Kluyveromyces lactis: one gene and its partners. Each later gene encodes a partner of the first gene's protein in a complex. Links are inferred from orthologs where the notes say so. Each region holds a gene or a part of one and is shown on either strand. Other genes may lie near its edges.

What was found. Proteins that work in one complex are often made in the same cells at the same time.
Region 2: NPR3 (region 1) and SEA4 share a complex: the UniProt entries of both Saccharomyces cerevisiae proteins name them as parts of the SEA complex. The link is inferred for Kluyveromyces lactis from reciprocal best matches to the Saccharomyces cerevisiae genes NPR3 and SEA4.
Region 3: NPR3 (region 1) and RTC1 share a complex: the UniProt entries of both Saccharomyces cerevisiae proteins name them as parts of the SEA complex. The link is inferred for Kluyveromyces lactis from reciprocal best matches to the Saccharomyces cerevisiae genes NPR3 and RTC1.
Region 4: the proteins of NPR3 (region 1) and MTC5 are in contact, whole or in part, in a cryo-EM structure (PDB 8ADL), measured with the Saccharomyces cerevisiae proteins. The link is inferred for Kluyveromyces lactis from reciprocal best matches to the Saccharomyces cerevisiae genes NPR3 and MTC5. Residues at the interface, in NP_011840.1 of Saccharomyces cerevisiae: Gln1067, Tyr1070, Thr1071, Ile1072, Ile1073, Leu1074, Glu1075, Glu1077, Arg1078, Ala1079, Thr1080, Ala1081, Glu1083, Lys1084, Arg1085, Tyr1088; in NP_010413.3 of Saccharomyces cerevisiae: Leu386, Asn389, Phe390, Val391, Thr392, Ser394, Gly395, Leu396, Val445, Glu447, Thr459, Asn461, Phe474, Arg476, Glu497, Glu498, Asn499, Ser500, Asn501.

The regions. Positions count from the first base shown.
Region 1 is NC_006042.1:1,679,820-1,684,815, forward strand, and holds NPR3 (Npr3p), read right to left. Parts: upstream 3,015-4,996; coding exon 480-3,014; downstream 1-479. Other genes in the region: KLLA0_F18216g (uncharacterized protein), read left to right, coding at 1-38; KLLA0_F18260g (zinc-dependent alcohol dehydrogenase), read right to left, coding at 3,598-4,644. UniProt on the Saccharomyces cerevisiae protein: Component of the SEA complex which coats the vacuolar membrane and is involved in intracellular trafficking, autophagy, response to nitrogen starvation, and amino acid biogenesis. Mediates inactivation of the TORC1 complex in response to amino acid starvation.
Region 2 is NC_006041.1:581,396-586,253, forward strand, and holds SEA4 (Sea4p), read right to left. Parts: upstream 3,438-4,858; coding exon 540-3,437; downstream 1-539. Other genes in the region: NTO1 (Nto1p), read right to left, coding at 3,629-4,858. UniProt on the Saccharomyces cerevisiae protein: Component of the SEA complex which coats the vacuolar membrane and is involved in intracellular trafficking, autophagy, response to nitrogen starvation, and amino acid biogenesis.
Region 3 is NC_006041.1:1,870,683-1,875,663, reverse strand, and holds the start of RTC1 (Rtc1p), read right to left. Parts: upstream 3,438-4,981; coding exon 1-3,437. Other genes in the region: KLLA0_E20945g (sugar porter family MFS transporter), read right to left, coding at 3,924-4,981. UniProt on the Saccharomyces cerevisiae protein: Component of the SEA complex which coats the vacuolar membrane and is involved in intracellular trafficking, autophagy, response to nitrogen starvation, and amino acid biogenesis. May be involved in a process influencing telomere capping.
Region 4 is NC_006042.1:1,825,120-1,830,264, forward strand, and holds MTC5 (Mtc5p), read left to right. Parts: upstream 1-1,708; coding exon 1,709-5,110; downstream 5,111-5,145. Other genes in the region: ARO1 (pentafunctional protein ARO1p), read left to right, coding at 1-1,449. UniProt on the Saccharomyces cerevisiae protein: Component of the SEA complex which coats the vacuolar membrane and is involved in intracellular trafficking, autophagy, response to nitrogen starvation, and amino acid biogenesis. May be involved in telomere capping.

The sequences.
Region 1 (4,996 bases):
CTGTCTCTGGACATGATAAAGCAGACCTCGACTATTGAATATGTCATTTTCTTTCTACTTTTTTTTAGCGTAATCATTGCACTATCTTAGGCCCTCCTAGTGATTAACTCTTTTTCACCTTCTTTTTAGTCAACCACAGGGCATATACTCGGCACCGTCTTATAATATGTTCCCCAGTGGCGTTTCATTTGTACATGTCCTTCTCTTTTAGATAAATAAACTTAAGATATCATCTTAAACTTTACATGCATGGCATATATATATAGATATGTTTTCTGTTCGAGCTTCTCCGGAATTACAAACTGTTATGGTTACAACATGCAAAACAAAAAATATAAAACACAGTGAATTGATTAGTTATGACATAAAGTTATGCAACTCCAAAAATGGCTTATTATATAGTACTTAATTATTATGCATTGACAAAATCCTGTGCGTAGAATCGATTAGAAGAATAACAATGTAAGGGGATAGGGCATTTACCAGTGTTTTACTTCAACGATGTACTTACCTAAGGCCTGAAGCAATCTTTTTATCTCATTTTTAGGAATACCTTCCTTAATCATAATGTACTCCAAAGAAACCTTCCCATTAAAGTATTTCACCACTTGTCTAAATAGCGTTTGAAGATCAGTAGGTAATGCCTCAGCACATTTGTACAACCATCTCTTTTCTAATGCAGTATTACGTTCTGGTTCAAGAATTATAGTGAAATCATTATCGTTGATCATCTCCAAATCATCAAACTCACTGGAGTTATAATTTTCACCTCCAGTAACAAAATTACCGGACTTTTCGTGTTTGTTCGATCTTAAGTTATCCTTTTCTAGATCCTCATCGACAGCTATTTTAATGCGCTTGTCCACACGTACATACACAAACGTCAATAATTGAGTGAGGTATCCGTACCTCATGAGCCATGCCAGGGCATTCAAATACATAGATTTATGTTCATTGGATGGTATGATATGCCCGAAAGGTCTGGGTTTCTGGGTTGACATAAGTTGAAGGAACGATGGCAAAGAAGGTAAGGAGGGAAATTTTTCATTGAATACCTTCTTGTTTTGGTATATCAACGACGGTTCATCGTTGTTATTCACAGGAACTTCTTGTTGTCTTATTAAGGTGTCGTATTCGCCATGTTTGAAGTCATCAGTTGAAAATCCTGAGATTGGCGCCAATGGAGAAACTATATATGTGTTTCTCGATGATATTGGCAGTATCAAACGGGCGTGACGCCAGTATATTAAATGTAGACATAACGACTTTAAAGTAGTTTCACAGAATTGATCATCATATGAGGAATCATTAGAATCGATTAGCTCTTTAATTAATAATTTATATTGACCAAGCCTTATAGTGGGCTTCAACTGTCTTACAAGGTTGATCAAAAGTAAATCAGTAACGCCGTTATCAAAGGAAGCGTTTTCAAGCCCTTTTATAATATTTTCAGGTTCATCGAGCAAAAGCAATCCATAATCTAGAAGCCTGTCGTGGTTGGCATACAAATTATCTGAATCTTCGTTTGTCAAGCTAGTGCTTCTACCAATAAAACTTTCGTTTAGTATTGAGGATAAGAAAGATCCACGAAGAACAGCATCTTCTTTTAAATTTGGAAGAATGGAAAATTCATTTTTGATTGGAATCTGCAAGGAAACAATTTTATCACCATCAATTTCAAGATTAGCAATTTCATTGTTATGGATGCAATTGAAACATTTTGTTAACGCTCTAGCTAGTGACGATTCGTAAAGAATTCTTTCATACATATATTTTCCTTTAGACCAGGGAGATTTTAAAGACTCATAATATCGAGAGTGTTTAGAAACTTCGTCCTTACACTTCATAATTTTCACGCATTCCCTAGTGACATAACCGGTTTTTCCTTGTATGTACCTTAAAATCAATGATAATCTAGTCACCACGTAATGATACATATCATCGACTCTTTCATTATATTCTATGATCTTTGGGTTCATGATGAAGCAGACCTGGAACATGTTTATACTCTGCTGCAAACTTTCGAATTCATCATTTTCCGCATCAGGCACACAGTACATTTCATTAAGCATTTCTGATTTGGATGGTTCATAATCACTATTCTCATCATCTGCAGGTTCTTCAACATCATTAATGTGTCCTTGACTCTCTGTTTTAGATCTGTTTCGACCAATACTATTTCGACCAACACTATTTCTACTAATACTGTTTCGTGCAGTGCTACTTCTAGCCGAACGTTTGGAAGCTTGCTTTCTCTTCTTTGATTTCTTCCATCTTCCTTTGTGATCCGCGTGAATTGGCAACCCTAAGAAACATAAGTCATCCACAGTGAATTCAAATCTGGTGTTACACATCTCCTTTCTTGGAGAACAGAGTTCAGCTACAAATTCTGTATTGAAATTTAGTACTTTTGAGATATCCTGAAATGTATCCTGCTGAAATATTGAACCATCTAGCAAATCGTCTACCAAGATTTTCAACTCTTCATCTACTGCATCCAATTCATCTTCTGGTCTCGGATCAGTCGTACTAGACATATTAGTCGATGTTCTAATCGAGTGCAACGATTCCCTCAACGAGTTTTCGCCATTGATTGCAACATTGTTATTATTCTGATTTAGCACTTGAAAGAGTTTATTCGCACTAATCTGAGATTGACGAGATCGTAGACCATTATTGATAAATGTATTGTTTGTACTGCTGTTTACAGTATCCTCATGATTTGATTGTGGAAGGGAGTCTAACGATGATTCTGATGCATCAGATGAACAATCTGCATAGTCAGTCGACAACTCGCTATCACTCAAACCTGAAGAGTAGTCATCTGAAGACGAATTGTTTTCAGAGTCCGTATACTCGTATCTTTTCTTGATATCTGGGTGATGCGTCTTCTTCGAATTGGTCGCAGTAGCATAGTTGCTTGGTGGATAATGATAAATTAATTGTGGACCCGAATGAGTTGAAACAGTTAATGCGATTTGTACTAAGCAGGAATTCGGTAAATTCGTGGACATTGAGCTATTCCTATCTCTTGGAGCTTCATAGACTGCTGAACTCTTAGATTGAGGGAAAGATTCTTTCGAATTAGCAGTTATACCCCAGTACTTTTGTATATTAGGTGTTTTATCAGTTAATCAAGTAAAATGACTATCGTATTTTCATATTTTTCATGTGTAGATATTTCTATAATAATAAGGGAAACTATATATGACTGGAGAGACAGCACAAGTAGACACTACGAAATCTCCTTTGGTTTGTTAATATCGGGGTGTCGTATATGCTTAAGTTTTTGGAACAGTAAAACTCAAACGTTGCTGAATGTATTTGAGGGCTTTTAATTTGTCGTGTGGTGTATGTTCCTGCAGTTTTAACTTTCAAAATTAGATAAGAACAAACAGAGATTAAAATATTGTCTGCTAAGAAAGTAGGATCGCGTAATCGATACTAGAACATCTCAAAAGGTCCTGATGTTACTACTATTATTCTTGAAAGTTTCATTAAACGTAAAATATAGTGCTATTGAAATCAATTATGTATGAAGGGATTCAGAGCGAGAGAAGAAAACCGGATTCATTATCGAACCATATTGAAGTAAAATTATTTTGAGGTGTCGACAACGTATCTACCAACGATTTCACCCTTGACCATCTTGTCATAAACATCTGCCAATTCAGATAATCCGACTATCTTAATTGGAGCATGCACTAAACCTCTTGCGAAGAAATCTAGAGCTTCTCTGGTGTCAGCTCTGTTACCGACGTAAGAACCAACAATGGAGACCGATTTGACAACTTGTGTAAAGACATCAGACTTACATTTGGCGTCCCTTGGTAGACCGACCAATACAACGGTACCGTTTGATCTAACGTAATTGGTGGATTGTTCTATAGCAAATTCGGAGACAGAGACGTTAATGACACCGTGGGCACCACCGTTAGTAGCGTCAACAATTTCTTTAATCAAATCCTTAGAGACGGCATAATCGACGAAGTATTCACCACCTAGCTCCTTGAACAACTTAGCCTTTTCAGCACCGGTATCAATACCCAAGACTCTGTAACCCATAGCCTTGGCGTATTGGATAGCCAAAGAACCTAGACCACCACAGGCACCGGAAATGGCAACCCAGTCACCGGCCTTCAAGTCAGCAGATTTTAGAGCCTTGTAAACGGTAACACCGGCACATAGAATTGGAGCAACTTCAGCCAAATCGGTACCCTTTGGAATTCTAGCAGCTTGAACGGCATCAGCGGTAGCATATTGTTGGAAAGAACCATCGTGGGTGTAACCAGACAAGTCAGCATCGGGACAGTTGGATTCATTGGACAATTCACAGTATTCACAGGACATACAAGAACCGTTCAACCATTTGATACCAGCAAAGTCACCAATGTTCCAGCCCTTGACATTTTCACCCATAGCAACAACGACACCAGCACCTTCGTGACCACCAACTAATGGCAATTTGGTTGGCAAAGGCCAGTCACCCTTCCATGCGTGCAAATCGGTGTGACAGACACCGGAGTACTTGACGTTGATCAAAAGTTCGTTGGCCTTTGGCTTTGGAACTGGAATGTCCTTGTATTGCAATTCACCACCGTTTTCGTAAAAGATAACACCCTTTTGAGTTTCAGGAATGGACATTTTTTAATTAATATTGATATTCTTTTTAGCTTGATTGCTTGTTATTCAGTATGATAGCTGATGGTGATTTATGTAACTAAATGTGATTGGAAGAACGACAATTATTACGATCTCAACAAGAGAATTGGAAAATATACTAAAATCCATCCCCTTATATAAGTTCTAATTTCATTTCTTTTCAAAAACCTAACCCCATCACTTTCATAGTTCTACCCTATAACTTTGTGGGGGCATCCTTTAACGGTTTCTCCAGGCCCGTGGTGAGCTTTAGACAGTATAAGAATCCAGTGCTATGTCTAGCTGGCAAACAAAATTTAGGGGAACCTCGATGCCCATATCTAAACTAAGCTGA
Region 2 (4,858 bases), on another chromosome or scaffold:
TTAATAAACCGTTGTTTATAGTCGTTCTTTCCTTTAGTTTTTGGTATCCTTAAAGATATTGTTGAGATCAAAAAAAACCATATATTTGTTTGTATCTGGATAGATCAAACTTTTTATTTTCTTAGTTTCGCCACATGATTTCCTGAAATAGAGCTCACGCATTTCAACTGATCGGGGAATCTTAACTAGTCACGTGAAGAGGCTTGCGCTCATGCGAATGACGGTGGGCAATGATGGAAAAGATGGCTTTAAGTTCCATCGCTGAACCACGGTCCATCCTATAACTCGATGAATATGCTCGGGGAAGTTTTCCAAGTATGGTACTGCGTTGCTAGTATCATTATTTTGTGGATGCGTAATGATTCATTCTGAAAGCAACGTTCAGCCGCTTGATATCTGCATATGAGATATTTGTATGTACTAATAGTGGGAGAAATGAGTTTTTGGCGAGGTTAAGGATTAAAGAGATTATATACGCTGAATAACAAGTTTAATGATTTATCCTAGAGCGTTTAGGTCCGAAATATTGGTAGAGTGTTTCATTGATGGCATAAACACGAACACCCAGGAACAGGACAAATTGAATGTCTTTCAAACCATTCCTCTGCATGACCGGCATGCATACCATGATTACACTTGAGACAGAAACTGAACCATTCGTTCATTTTCAAACGCTTTCTTTCCTTGACCTCGTTAATTTTCGCGTCGTCATCGATTCGTACTTCACATGAGTTGGTGGTGCCATTGATGACTATGGGGAGATTTGAAGTACCCAATGGCAAGAGACAAATAGCACATCTTGGGAAAGGCGTGCCACAATGTGGACATGAATGTTTCTGTTGGGGGACATCACCGTTTGTATTATTGAGGCCGAATTTCTTTCCTGCATTTAAGTTTTGATTAGCATGTCTTGGTAGGGATGCATTAGAAGACACATCAATGGGTCTGTTGATATTCTTCTTACATTTGGAACATTGTAAATACATTTGACGAGGTTTTAACTTCGCTGTAATTCGACCATCACTAGTCCTAGATAATTTTGTCTTGAGCACATCGAACTTGGCCCTCATAGTGAAAAATTCCCAGGAATTTAACATATGGCGATATGTTTCAACCCATTCATCAACTCTTGGGTCCATGAAGTATCTTGGGGAGCCGAAAACTGAAATTAGTGCAGCAGTTTGAATATCACTAGTCTTTCCAACGTACGATTGTAGAAGATCAATACCATTAGGCGTTATACCAGTCAAGATCAATCCTTCTAGTTCACCATTTTCAATAACAGTAGTAGCAGTTTTTTCTAAAAATCTGGTTAGATCTGTGTCATTTAGAAATCTAAGAGCAACACCAAGCCTTTCCCTTAGAGAGATAGCGCTCTCATACAGGATATCCCACCAATCATTGTCTGCAATGAATGCAAAAATGACTCTCAAATAGGGATCATCAAGCTCAGCAGCCATTTTTCTACATTGCTGTCTCCATGCATTGTCACCTGGCTTTTCACTATAAGCTTGATAACCTGCAATGGCCGCAGCAATGAGTCTAAGACGTTCTTTATTTGCAGATCCCAAAATAGATATAGCTTTCTGAACGTCACCGAAGAAGACAGCCCAGGCAGCAGCTTTCTCATAGTGATTTTGAGCTATTAGTGATTTATATTTTTCTTCGTAATCTGAAGGAGACAAATCCCAGCCACTAATAATCATACAGAGTCTTCTCTGAATGGCCTTTTTTGATGACATTTCGGAATTTAAACTGGAAACATTCCCAATTTTGTTTTTACTCTTGCTTCTCATCTTAATGATCTTCTCCAATTCCTTGTTTAACTGCTTTTCTGTGAGCATTCCTCCAGATCTATAACGATTCTGATTGGAGAGACCTTCAAGACCATTCCATATCCCTAAAACGCCTTCGTAGCCTAAATCTAAGTCTCCTGAAACCATTGTTCCGTCAGCTATGGATGCCTTCGCTATCGCCATCCATCTCCAAGTATTGCGAATGTAGATATTGTTATTGAAGTTATCGGATTTATCCATCATTTCGACAGTTTTCATTGGATCAAGACCATATCCCAGACTCGCGCGTTTACGCATTATAAAACTTATATCATTCTGTAACAGCTTCTCTGCCTCGATGTAAAACTCTTTAACGTCTTCAGAATCACTCAAGTAATCGCCGTCATCTTCCATACTTCCGGATGATTTTTTTTCATCCAGAGTTAATATCTTCAAGTCATCTCCTGTATCCAGGTCTTCGAAAGACAAGTTTTTTAGCCCGGTATCTAAATTTTCCAGCAATGAAACTTCATCCTCACCTGTTATTCTCAATTCGTTGACATCATTGTTTTGATCTGAGATAGACATTATGCTATTGTAGTTATTGATTTTCGATTGTGAAAATCCTTGTTCGACATTCATCCGATAGATAGTTCCGGATTGTCTCATGCATAGAAGACTTGTTCTGCCAGTACTCTTGGGTATATAATCGAAGGTAACAACACGATCAAAAGTCGTTTTAATGTCATTCACCGTGGAAACGAACAAGGAATCATTTAGTTCGTTATTCGACTCTAAATCTGGTACGTTGGCCAATCTCCAGCGTTTAATTGTAGTGCCTGCGTGTAATGTCGAAAACTCTCCACTTCTCAATGGAGACCATCTGAAACATGAATTCATATATTTTCTAGAAGCTGCACCATGACCAACAAGTTTGTCAAATTTAAGTAATGGTTGTGCCTCCAAAAACTCAGTGTCTTCAGAGTTACTTGCTAGCTTTCTTCTATCCCAAAAGGCCAACGTACCATCGTCAGCATATGTTGAGAATTGCCAAGGGTTAAAAGGATTTATCTTGATGTCATATGAGACACGAGTTGGATGCTGGTATATAGGATTAGGAGCTCTAAGGTCAATTTCTTTCAAGAGTTTTGAACTTGCAGCTAAGATGCTGGTATCGTCGACAAATTTCAATGACACGATACTTTCGTTCAAACAATATGAAAAAGATGGTGTGATAACATTTGATTCCGTGCTTTGGTAGTTTACATCCCACACCTGTACAGAGGCATCATGCTTATTGCGATCTAAACCCATGGCTATTAGGCCATTTGTATTTATACTCAAACTGTTGATAGTTCGCTGGTGCTTTGCTCGTACTCGTAGATCGAACGGCTCGTATGCATCGTCCGTATCCAAAATATTAAATAACCGTACAACACCGCTTTTCTCACCGACACCTACTATACCTTCATCTGTATTAGAGTAATCTAGACATGTTATATTTCCAAAGTCCTTTACTGTATTCACCTTAACGATGGACTCGTCTGTCTCCACATCCAGCTTCACTCGGTAATGAGAAACTTCATCTCTTGTAGGATTAACAGACAAAAAATCCAACCCTTCCACATTTGGCCAACAAGGAACGCGTTTAATCAAGCCCATGAAGTAATACTGGTGGATTGGCCTCGACAGATGCTTTACTACATTGAATACCGTAATATTATTTGATGCATCTTATCACTCATTCTGAAGTTATCTTGAAATAATTTACCGTATATAGTTTTATTACCCGGATATATGTACATAGGAACAGGAGAGTTAAGTACTGAGTGAACGAAAACTTGATGGATAATTCAGTCACGTAGTAGTCCTTTCAATTGTCTTTCCTGTTTGATCGATAAATCTTCAACATCAGCTAGTCCTTCGCGTGCAAGTATTTTCCGGCCCTTCCAATTAACCTCTTCTACTTGATGTGTTCTCTCATCTATATCGAAATCGTCATGTAATAAAGTATGTACATCTAACTCATCAATCTTAGATAAAAGTTTGTTAAGATCGTTGATGAGCTTAGATCCCATTATTACCAGTGATCTCGGTGACCTCTCATTGGATGTTATTTTCACTATATTTCCAACAAATTCATCCTTGAATTCTTGGACAGATAAGTATTCATCATTTTCAAGCCTGGAGCTAATGTAAGGTATGACCTTGAAATTTGAAGATGATTCGAGGTCTGCAAAAGATTTAAAAGATAAAGTCTTTGTGAGATTGTTCCACACAACATCCTTCAATATATACCTTATCGGATGGAACGCAATGTCGTTTATGATCCTTTGGTTTCTTACCCTTTCAACATTACATTCTTGTTTAGCCACCAAAGATGATGCAAGACCTTCCAATGAATTGAGGTCTCTCAAAAGAACTTCTGAGAATACGATTCTGTCATTTAGCTCTTCGGTATCTAGAGTATTCAAAGAAGATGGGCTGAACTTTCTTACCAAAGGAGCGCCTCTTTTGAGTTCTCTTTTCATTGTCCAGTACTTGCATATATCCAACGAAATTTGCTCGGAATTTGGAACATGAAATCTGTTTAAAACTCTCATTGTAATATCTGCGAAGGCTTGAGGTGCAATTAAAGTTCCCCTACTGGTTTTCCATTTATTCTTAATGGTTTTCTTGGCAGATTGCTTGTTTTCTTCCACGGCACTGTCTTGTAGCACCTTGTGATGATTAATGTGATTAAAATAATCCCTAGTTTTACGAATTCCGTCTTCACAGCTACTCCAGCCGTTAGGAGAATGTTTGTGACAAAAACTTTCCAGGAAAGCACCTGTGGAAAAGTTTTTTGAGGCAGCCTCTTGAACTGTACATCCATTGAAGTTCATGTATAATCCAGCTCTTTTAGCGCACGTAGTGTGATACGCTGCAAAACAGTTCTTATTCGAGCATTGGATGCAAGCACCGACCTCTTGTTTGCAAATATAACATGTGAGCTTCCATCGACTTTTCGGGATATTCTCTATTCCTCCAATCGGCTCCATATAGTGTAGATTTCCGAAATAAAGCTCTGGTATCCAAATTCC
Region 3 (4,981 bases), on another chromosome or scaffold:
AATCGCCTTGATGACCAAGGTGGGGTAATAGTATTTTCCAGTTTTTTAGTTTCATTCATAAGAGCAGTAATACCAGACATTTGAGTTGTAGTTTTTGCAACGCTCCCGTTCCATGATTTTTGAGTAGCAAATTCAGATTCCAATATATCTGATACTTCAGTTGCGCTTTTCAATTTATTATGATTCGCGTTTTGCGATTTCTTGCTATTCAAAAATGTGGCAGCCGAAGAGCTAAAGCTTGGCATGGAAGATTTTTTGCTACCAGTACTTTCCCTATCAGCATCAACATTTGACGATCCTGGAGAACGTAATTGTGACATGAAGGAGTCTATAAAAGATGTCCGCGGCCGACGTGGCTGGTGATGGTTTTCCGGATTTGAAGGAATTTCGCTTTGTGAGGAAACATGAGAAGGACTCGGCATGAGAGCGCTAGGCCCTGATTCCCTTCTTGGGATATTAATGAATTGTTTATTGTTTTCATCTTCTTCGAACGCCCTTTTTGTAAGTTCCTCTCTTTCTTCTCCTTCTTCCTCTTCATCAATTGCTAGTTCTGCTCTATCTCCATGAGATTGACGCAGCTTTCTAATTTCGATGATATCGTTCTGTAACGAATTTTGAATCGAGTCAGCCCTCGATATAGTCGTAGTTTCTTTTGAACCTTGAAGTTGAGCCTTTAAATGTGATACTGGAGGAGTTTGGGTTAGATGAGTGGGTTCGTTGAAAGAATGTCTATTATTTGTATTTACCGAGGAGCTCAGATCCGTAGCACTATATGAACTGTAGCCACTAGCAACAGATGCTTGCCTTGCCTCTTTCAAGCTAGTAAAACTGTCATTTTTTTTCCAAGGTTGGTCAATGGACGATTGATCGTTGACTTCTTGGTCAGCTGTCACGTCAACAGCCATTGACTCGGTTAGGACTTTCAAGTCCCATAATAATGAATCCCGCATTAGAAGCCAAATTTTGTAGTTTGAAAAGTCCTCAAGCATGATATAAATTTCAGCGTTCTTATCACATAGAGTTATCAGTTCGATGAGGTTTTTGGTTTTTACCTGGTTTGAAGAGTTGATGCAGGAACTGTTCTCATCCTGATTGGTTTCAGCTTTATGATTCGTAGCTGATTTTTCGATATTAGCACTTTTGTCAGAAACTGGTGTTTTAAGCTCTGTGCCTTTCGATATGACTTCGTCAGAGTCGTGAGATTTCGTATATTTGATCAAATGAGTCCAAGTATTATTTTCAGATAACCCCAACTTTTCCATCAAATTCGTTTTAGAATCCACTGAGCCATGTGTGCTCGATGAATCAAGCTCTCGGCCGTTGTCTTTTGTTTCAATACTGTTATATTTATACGAAAACTTCAATTCCCGTGCTAAAAACTTGAAAACTTCAGTTGGAGATGACTTTAATTCTAATAAAGCTGCACTTTCGACCTTTCTGTTAAATTCTGCGAGCCTAGTGTTCCGTATTGTGTTCAAAATATGCGGAAAGTCTAATCCTATCAAATATGGAGATTGTAGAAAGGAATCATTAACCGCATGTAATGCCGATTCCGATCCTGACACGATTGAGTTATGATGAGGGGACGAATACGGATTGGTCCACGGCGAGCTGTTAACCGAAGGCGAAAATTTGCTGTTAACGGATTGTGCATGCTTTGACATAGTTGACCTTTCACCTAATACGTTGCCCTGGTGAAGTTGAGACATGCCAAGTGTCGGGTTTTTTGAGAAACTTGCGGCACTGCTACTTGTGTTGCTTGTAATGTTAGGATTATTTCCTCCAGTAAAACTGTTAGCAGTTGCACTACTCATTCTGTGTGTGAAAGGCATCTTGCGATTCTCTCCACTACCTGGTGTCAAAACTGTCTCTTCTTGAGACAAATACCCACCTGGTTTTTGGTCCAAAAACAGAATACCATCGCCATCCAAATCTCTCCATTTTATTGTGTTTTTCGGCAAATTATCAAGTACAGTCGGTTCATGAGAGATATCCCACCCAGTAACGGTATTTTGCTTGTCTATATTGAATATCGTGTCGTCATCCCACCAGACAAAACCAACAGAAGGTGCACTGGAAGCAATAACGTTTTTAGGAATATATTTTCTTGCTAGCGAATAAACAGATACATCCGAATCTTCGCCCATGGATGAAGTCCCAATCAATGAATTGAATACATTCGTCTCATATTTTGGACGAAACTTAAGTTTATTCATGGAACGAGCGGTATTTATTGTGAGCTCAGGAAATGCAAGGGTGTTGGATAGCCCCAAGGGGTATGATGATGATAAATTATGCGTTGCTGGATTACTTGAATTGAGGTTGGTACTACTAATGTTACCAACTTGATTAGATTTGTCGCCTACATACCACAAGCAACATTTTCCGTCTCTTCCACCACTAATAATGTAGTCCTGATGCGGATGCCAATTCAAACATAAGGCGGGACCAGAATGTGCATTAATCTTTTTTTCAGCTTGGTTTGGTTGTCTCAAATCAAACTTCAATAATAATCCAGAGTCATGCACACTGGCAAATTTGAAATGTCTGTTTGAAAGACCATTGGTATCATTAGAAAACTCGTAAGAAGGCATCCATTTTACGTCTCTAATGGAATCAGACCCGGTGTTGATACTTACATCACTCCTAGTGGTGGAGATTTTAGGAGATCTCAAATCCCAAATCTTTATGCATCCATCTTGTCCACCGCTAATTAATAAGCTTGTCTGCACCATATTGAAATCCACACTATTGATAGATCTTGTATGTTCTGAGAGAGATGTTACAACTGGATTGTCTATCGCTGATGTCTTATTAATATCGTAAATCGCAACAGACGTTGAAGTACCACAAATTGCTACATAGTTTTTGTGATTGTAAAAGCCAGCTTTAACATCAGATATGGTTGAAATTTTTTTTGTTGTTCTCCGTAGTGTCGATGAAGTGTTCTTCGTGATCCCAGTATTTGTCTTCGCTGTCTGTAAGAAATCATGTACATTAGTTATCGTCTTAGAATCTTCATCGAAAGTGTAAATACCTAAATGGCTTTTTCCTGCTATTATCAAGGATCTGCTCTCCGGTGAATTGATTTTATCTATACTTGAGACTTCCTTTCCGATACTCAGAGAGTATTTAGCGCCGTGGAAAGTTCTACGTTTGTCAAATGAACTTTCAGAAGGTCTCCATCTTGCATTTGATTCTTCTTCATTAAGAGAGCTCTCTGGTCCAACATTTCCCGTACCATCAAAACTGAAGGGAGTGCGGCTATCTGGTTTATACTTAGGTGATATCCTAAAAGGTGAAGTTCCAAAACCTGTGTTGTACTGTCGATGAAAAGAGTATCGTGAACTTGACGACTGATATTTCAGAGAGGGAGGATTTTCTGGTTGCTGCCCTTGAGAAGACGAAGTAGCTCTGTTTGAACCTCTTTTAAACATCGTTGAGCAACAATACTCAGTGCTCTCGATCACCGGTTTATTTGGCTTACAACCAATTGCTGGATTTTTGAATCATAGTATGTGAGTGCTTTCATATTTTCAATTACATATTGCCATCTCTTCCTTTTTTTCTTGTTGAGTAAATATATGAGGAATCAGGAATCATCTTCGGTGATTGATAAGTGAGAGCCCGATAAAACAACACAAGAGTAAATAGAAGTATTAAGATATCACAGGGCTGGGAGACAGAAATGCCTTGTTATTAAAATTCTTCTGAAATAATTACAAATTTAATGCCATTGAGACACTTGTAAAATGATACGTAATGAGAAAGTTAATAGGTTTTACACAGTGAAATTATATGAAGGAGAGCGATTCAAGCGCACACTCGAACAGAGAAATCGGGAGGCTTCAGTAGATTATGTGAACAGTTGAGCTCATTGTAAATTTCTTTGTTTGTAGAAGTATACCTGTATGGTCCATTGCCTATTGCTTGTCAATAGAATACAATGCGTCAACCTGTTCAGGAGTTTTGTTCTTAGTTTCCTTCAATAAGAAAGTGAAGAACCAGAATGAGACAAATAGACAACCAGCAAAAACGAACCCAAACTTGAAGCCTATCTTATCAGTGACATATGGTGTGCATAAAGAAATGAAGAAGTTGCAAAGCCAATTGATTGAGGTACACACTGCCATGGATATCGCTTTTGTCCTGCTTGGAAACAACTCCGAAATGACGACAAAGGACACAGGTCCCGATGTGCATGCAAAGAACATGATGTAAACACACGTGAAGGTAACCATAATCGCACCAGAGTTTTGAGGCGACTTATTAAGTGCGAACGATCCGACTGACGCATACACGGACATACAGGTAAACATACCCGCGGAACCAAGAATTAAGCATGCTTTTCTGCCTAACTTTTCAACTAAATAAATACCGAAAAAGGTAGATATGAAGTTGACAGAAGACAATAAAATCGACGTTAAGTATGGGTCTTCAATTCCCACAGAGTTGAAAAGTGTTGTACCATAATAGAAGAAGTAATTTGCACCGGATAGCTGTTGAAACGCCATCACCATAATACCAATAAATAGTCTAAAACCTAATCTTGGTTGACCGAGTATGAATTCAAACCTGCTGTTCTTCATATCATTGTGAGTAGATACCTCCGCGTCAGCTGATTCCATCATCTTCCTAATATGACTATCCACAATTGGATCATCTACGTCCAAATTGTTCATATGGGCAAAAGCTGCCTTAGCTTTGAGAGCGCTTCCTAACCTCTTGGTAAGAAAAACTGGTGATTCAGGCATAAAATGAACACCTAGCGCGACGATAGCGGCCCAGACGTTTCCTAATCCTACAGGGATCTTCCATGTGGCATTATCTGTTTCGTGTAAAGTGGATCTGCAACAATAGTTGATGACATTTCCGAGCAAAATTCCAAGAGTGATCATTAACTGGTAGAGCACAACCATGGCACCACGAATGTTGATGGGAGCAGATTCGGCTATAAACATTGGTATCATCACCGCAGTAG
Region 4 (5,145 bases), about 150 kb from region 1:
AGAGTTGATCATTTATCATCCTTTTCTTCAGACTTTGTCACCAAACAAATCTCCTTGTTAAGAGCTGCAACCAAATCGCTACCTATTGTTTTCACTGTGAGAACAGTTAGCCAAGGAGGGAAATTCCAAGATGATGATTATGATTTACTTGAATCATTGTTGAAGGTCGCTCTGAAGAACGCTGTTGAATACATCGATTTAGAGTTGACATTGCCTAACAACATACTCTACAATGTTTTGAACAAGAAATCAAACACAAAGATTATTGGCTCCCATCATGATTTTGCAGCTAAATTCCCATGGGATGATGCTGAATGGGAAAATAGATATAACCAAGCTCTTTCTTTAGACGTGGACATTGTGAAGTTCGTTGGCACAGCAGTAAGCTTCGATGACAATTTGGCTTTGGAAAAATTCAGGTCCACTCATACTTTGAAGCCACTAATTGCTATCAATATGACTGAAACAGGTAAGCTATCCAGGGTGCTAAATAATATTTTGACACCTGTTACCTCCAAGTTACTACCATCCGCCGCTGCCCCTGGTCAATTGACACTAGCTGAAATCAACCAATTGTATCACCAAATCGGTGGATTACCAGCCAAGAAGTTCTTTGTTATTGGTTCTCCAATTGGACATTCCAGATCTCCGATCTTGCACAACACTGGGTATGAGCTACTAGGCTTACCTCATCATTTTGATAAATTCGAAACTGAAGATATCGAAGTAGTTAAGAAAGAACTTTTGACCAGAGAAGATCTCGGTGGCTTAGCTGTAACCATCCCATTAAAACTAGATATTATTGATAGTATGTTTGAATTGAGCGAAGCCGCAAAGACCATTGGCGCTGTAAACACTGTTATTCCTTTAGGAAAGAACAAATTCAGGGGTGACAATACTGATTGGTTAGGTATCAAAAACTCTTTGGTTTCAAATGGTGTTCCTAGTTCTGTTAGTGGTTCTGCAGGTCTGATTATCGGTGCTGGTGGTACTTCAAGAGCTGCTATATACGCTTTGAAACAAATTGGTTGTGACACCATTTATATGCTCAACAGAACCACGGAGAAACTACAAAAGCTGAAATCCGAATTTTCCGAAGAATATAAGATTGTTGTCGTCGAATCTGCCGAACAAACAGAGTCAATTAAGGAACAAGTTTCTGTTGCTGTTTCTTGTGTTCCAGCTGATAAGCCTTTAGATCCAGAGTTACTAAACAAATTGGAAAGACTTTTGGCAAAAGGTACAAATAGCTCCTTCAAACCAACCTTGTTAGATGCCGCATATAAGCCTTCAGTGACCCCTATCATGAAGCTCGCACGTGATAAGTTCAACTGGAATATCGTTCCGGGCGCTGAAATGTTGGTTCATCAAGGTGTGGAACAATTTTCTAAATGGACAGGTGCAAAACCACCATTTAAAGCTATCTTTGATGCAGTTACCCAAGAATAGATAAAACATTAGATACATTTAAACTTCAAATAACGTCACGAATGATTAATAATAGCTTTCTAACTCCCCTTTTTATGTATGTCTAATCCACTATTTGTTAATATTCCTTAAAGCATTATTAACTGTTGATAGGAAAAAATGAATCATGAATATATAATGAAACAAAGCACAATTCAATAGGAAACATCATTCGTATATTGAATTCTAGTAAGGTTCGTGTTTTTTAGAGGTTTCGATATAAGCCACACTTTGAGATTGAATGTCTGAATACGTAGGGGAAGGTCCTTACTCATCACCAACCTTCGGGAAATCACTTTCTCTTCGGGTTGATGGTGGATTTAATGCTGTTTCTATCAATCCATCTGGTAGAGATGTCGTATTAGCCAGTCGAAAGGGCCTTTATGTGGTAGACTTGGATGATCCTTTCTCAGAGCCTCGATGGTTACACCATCTCACGTCTTGGGAGGTTGCTGACGTGCAGTGGTGCCCGCATCCGGCCAAGCATCACTGGGTTATATCTACGTCGAATCAAAAAGCAATTGTATGGAATCTATCTAGAAGCTCTTCTAAAGCAGTGGAGCATGTATTACATGGCCATTTCAGAGCCATTACAGATATAAATTTCCACCCGTTGCAACCAGAAATCCTAGCTACTAGTTCAATTGATACTTACGCCCTGGCTTGGGATATGAGAAGCCCCAAGAAGCCTTATTTTAGAACCAGTAACTGGAGATCTGGTGCTGCACAAGTCAAATGGAATCACAAAAATTCCAATGTATTAGCAACCTCGCACTCGAATATCGTGTATGTTTGGGATGTAAGAAAGGGTACATCTCCGTTATCTGTATTAGAAGGTCATAGCGGAAGCGTTAATAGCATCGACTTCAATCCATTCAACGAAACCGAAATCATGTCAAGTGGGAATGACGGAACGGTAAAGTTCTGGGATTATAATAAAGTTGAAGATGAACTACAGATGACAATTACCACAGAGTTTCCTGTGTGGAGAGGACGATATCTCCCGTTTGGGGACGGATATTGCATCATGCCGATGATAGGAGGAAATAATTCTGTATATTTGGCGAACTCTTTTCATGACTCAGGCAATTCTGAGTCAAGGACTACCAAACTACAGCCAACGTACGTTTTCAAGGGGCATACAGATAGAGTCACGGACTTCTTATGGAGATCGAGGCACAGTCAAAATACCATCATTGATGACAGAGAATTCCAATTGGTTACTTGGTCCAAAGATTGCGATTTAAGACTATGGCCAGTACCCGATATGGTTTACGACAAAGTTCACTACGAATGTGGCAAAGAGCTGCCGGAGAAGCTACCAGATTATGATTACGACACTTTTAGATCAGAACCTGAAAATAATATAGTAGATCCCCGGTACACAAATATAGAAATTCCGAAGGAAACCTTTGTTACAAAATCCGGACTACGCCAATGGAAAGCTGACAACAATATAGATCAACTACAATGGATTTCGGGTGTGAGAATGCATAACGAAGATTCACCGCATGATCTATTTGAAGAGGTGAGTTTAAACAATCTTGGAGAAGAAGTCACTTCCGTTGGGCACAAGTTCCCTAGAATTGTTTTTGAAAAAATTTCGGTTTCGACAGGAGAGTTAATTATTACTTTAAATGGTCCATGGGTGGAAGAAGATCCAGAAAAATACATTTTCATGCGTATTATTATTAACTTCCCGCCAAACTACCCCATGAAAGGAAATGAACCTGCGTTCAAGATTGAAGAGAACAGGGAATTAAAAGAACATCAAAAAACTCAGATAATGGAACGACTAAGAGAAATCAGCAAAAAATATGTCGATGCAAATCGATATTGCCTTGAGCCGTGTTTACAGTACCTACTTGGAGAAGAAGTTAACTTGGATATTTCCGACATGGAGGACGACAATAAAATTTTCAGCTTTGATTTCGAAGATGTAACTTCTTTAGATAGATCATCTTTGGGTTCATCTGATGATCATAGCGATGCTCCTACAGAGATTTCTTCTGTATCAGATGTTGAATTCGCTGTCGGGGATGGTTCTTTGCAATTGTATTCTAGTACACCAGAACCAAAATTTGATAGCACACCTGTCCCCAACGGTTGTGGAGCAGTTTGGACCGCTCAAGGAACCCTTGTTTGCTTCTTTAGAGCTGAGAATAAAACTGAAAAAAAGCAACACGCCATAATCAATGTTGGTAGAACTGGTATTGGAGGTTTTGTGAGATCAAAAAATGTCCAGAGTGCGTCACAAACTTTGAAGGATAACGTATCGGGAAAACAAAGAAAGCCAAAAACTTATAGAGAAGCGCTATCCATAAACTCACAACATGCCAGTGAATCACTAAATCAATCATCAGATTCGGATTCAGATGATAGTGATGATAGCTATGCTGAGTTCTTGGATGATATATTGAAAAATGATCTCACACTAAGGACTAGGATGCCAATGATGCCACGCATATTCCGTGATGAGACGAAATCTACTACGAGTGTATCCGGAAAAACCACCGATTCAAATAAAAAAAGCAAGTCATCTATAGTCGTTCAAGATTTTAAAAGTTTGATTCCCGACAAAAAAGAGCTAGCTGAACAGTATATTTTATTTCGGGAAACTCCTGAATTTGTTGCGAAGTACAATGCAGGCATTGCGGAAAGTTACGGCTATGAAGATATCGCGCAATGCTGGAGAATGATTTCTAATGTTTTAATAGGAAGAGGAGATAACGATTTCTACAATTATGATTGGGACCAGCATTCATTGGGTGGTAAACTTTTAGTGAAAAGACTATTCGAGTATTTTGAGAAGTGCCAAAATCTTCAAATGCTTGCAATGATGAGCTGCATCTTTGCTACGCTTGGAAGGCCAGATCAGAAAACAAATTATAAACTAGTTCCGCCTACTTTATCAGAAAACATCATTACATTTTATAACAATGAATACGAGCCATCGCCACATGTTCATTCCACTCACGGATCGTTCTACTCTAATGACACAGGTACACAAAATGCGAGAATGAGATATGGCACCAATCAAGCCTCATTGAACGATGGCTCTTCTATCATATCTGATGATTATTTCCATCAAAATCATCATGCTAACGGAAACAAGAACGGGAAATCCCATAATAATATGAACAATGGGTATGTAGAAACTGAAGCGACAATTCCCGATATCAAGATCAAACTAATTCATGACGATGTTTTGGATCTTGCCTACCAAGGTCTGGAACCTTCGTTGGTAGATCCGAAATGTGAAACCAAGTTCAGACAATATAGAACGCAATATGCAGAGATACTTTATATATGGGGGTTGCCTATGGATAGGGCCGAGTTGTTGAAGTTTAATGTAAATTTAAACACAGAACCTGAATACTTGCATGGGATCGAACAAGATTCGGGATTGGATATTTACAAAGGTGTATCGAATAGGTGGATTGAATCTAACCACGGACACACTCAACAAAACTGTAGCTACTGTGGCCTCAAAGCCGGTAGATTGGTGTTCGTATGCGGTAATTGTCAGCACGTGACTCACAGGACTTGCGCAGAAAAATGGTGGAAAATTGGCGATGAGTGCCCCTCTGGGTGTAGTTGCGACTGTATAAAGAACTTCGATGTCAGCGAACCACTTATATAAAATGCATCTTATGTAGCAGTGTCTTATCGTTCATC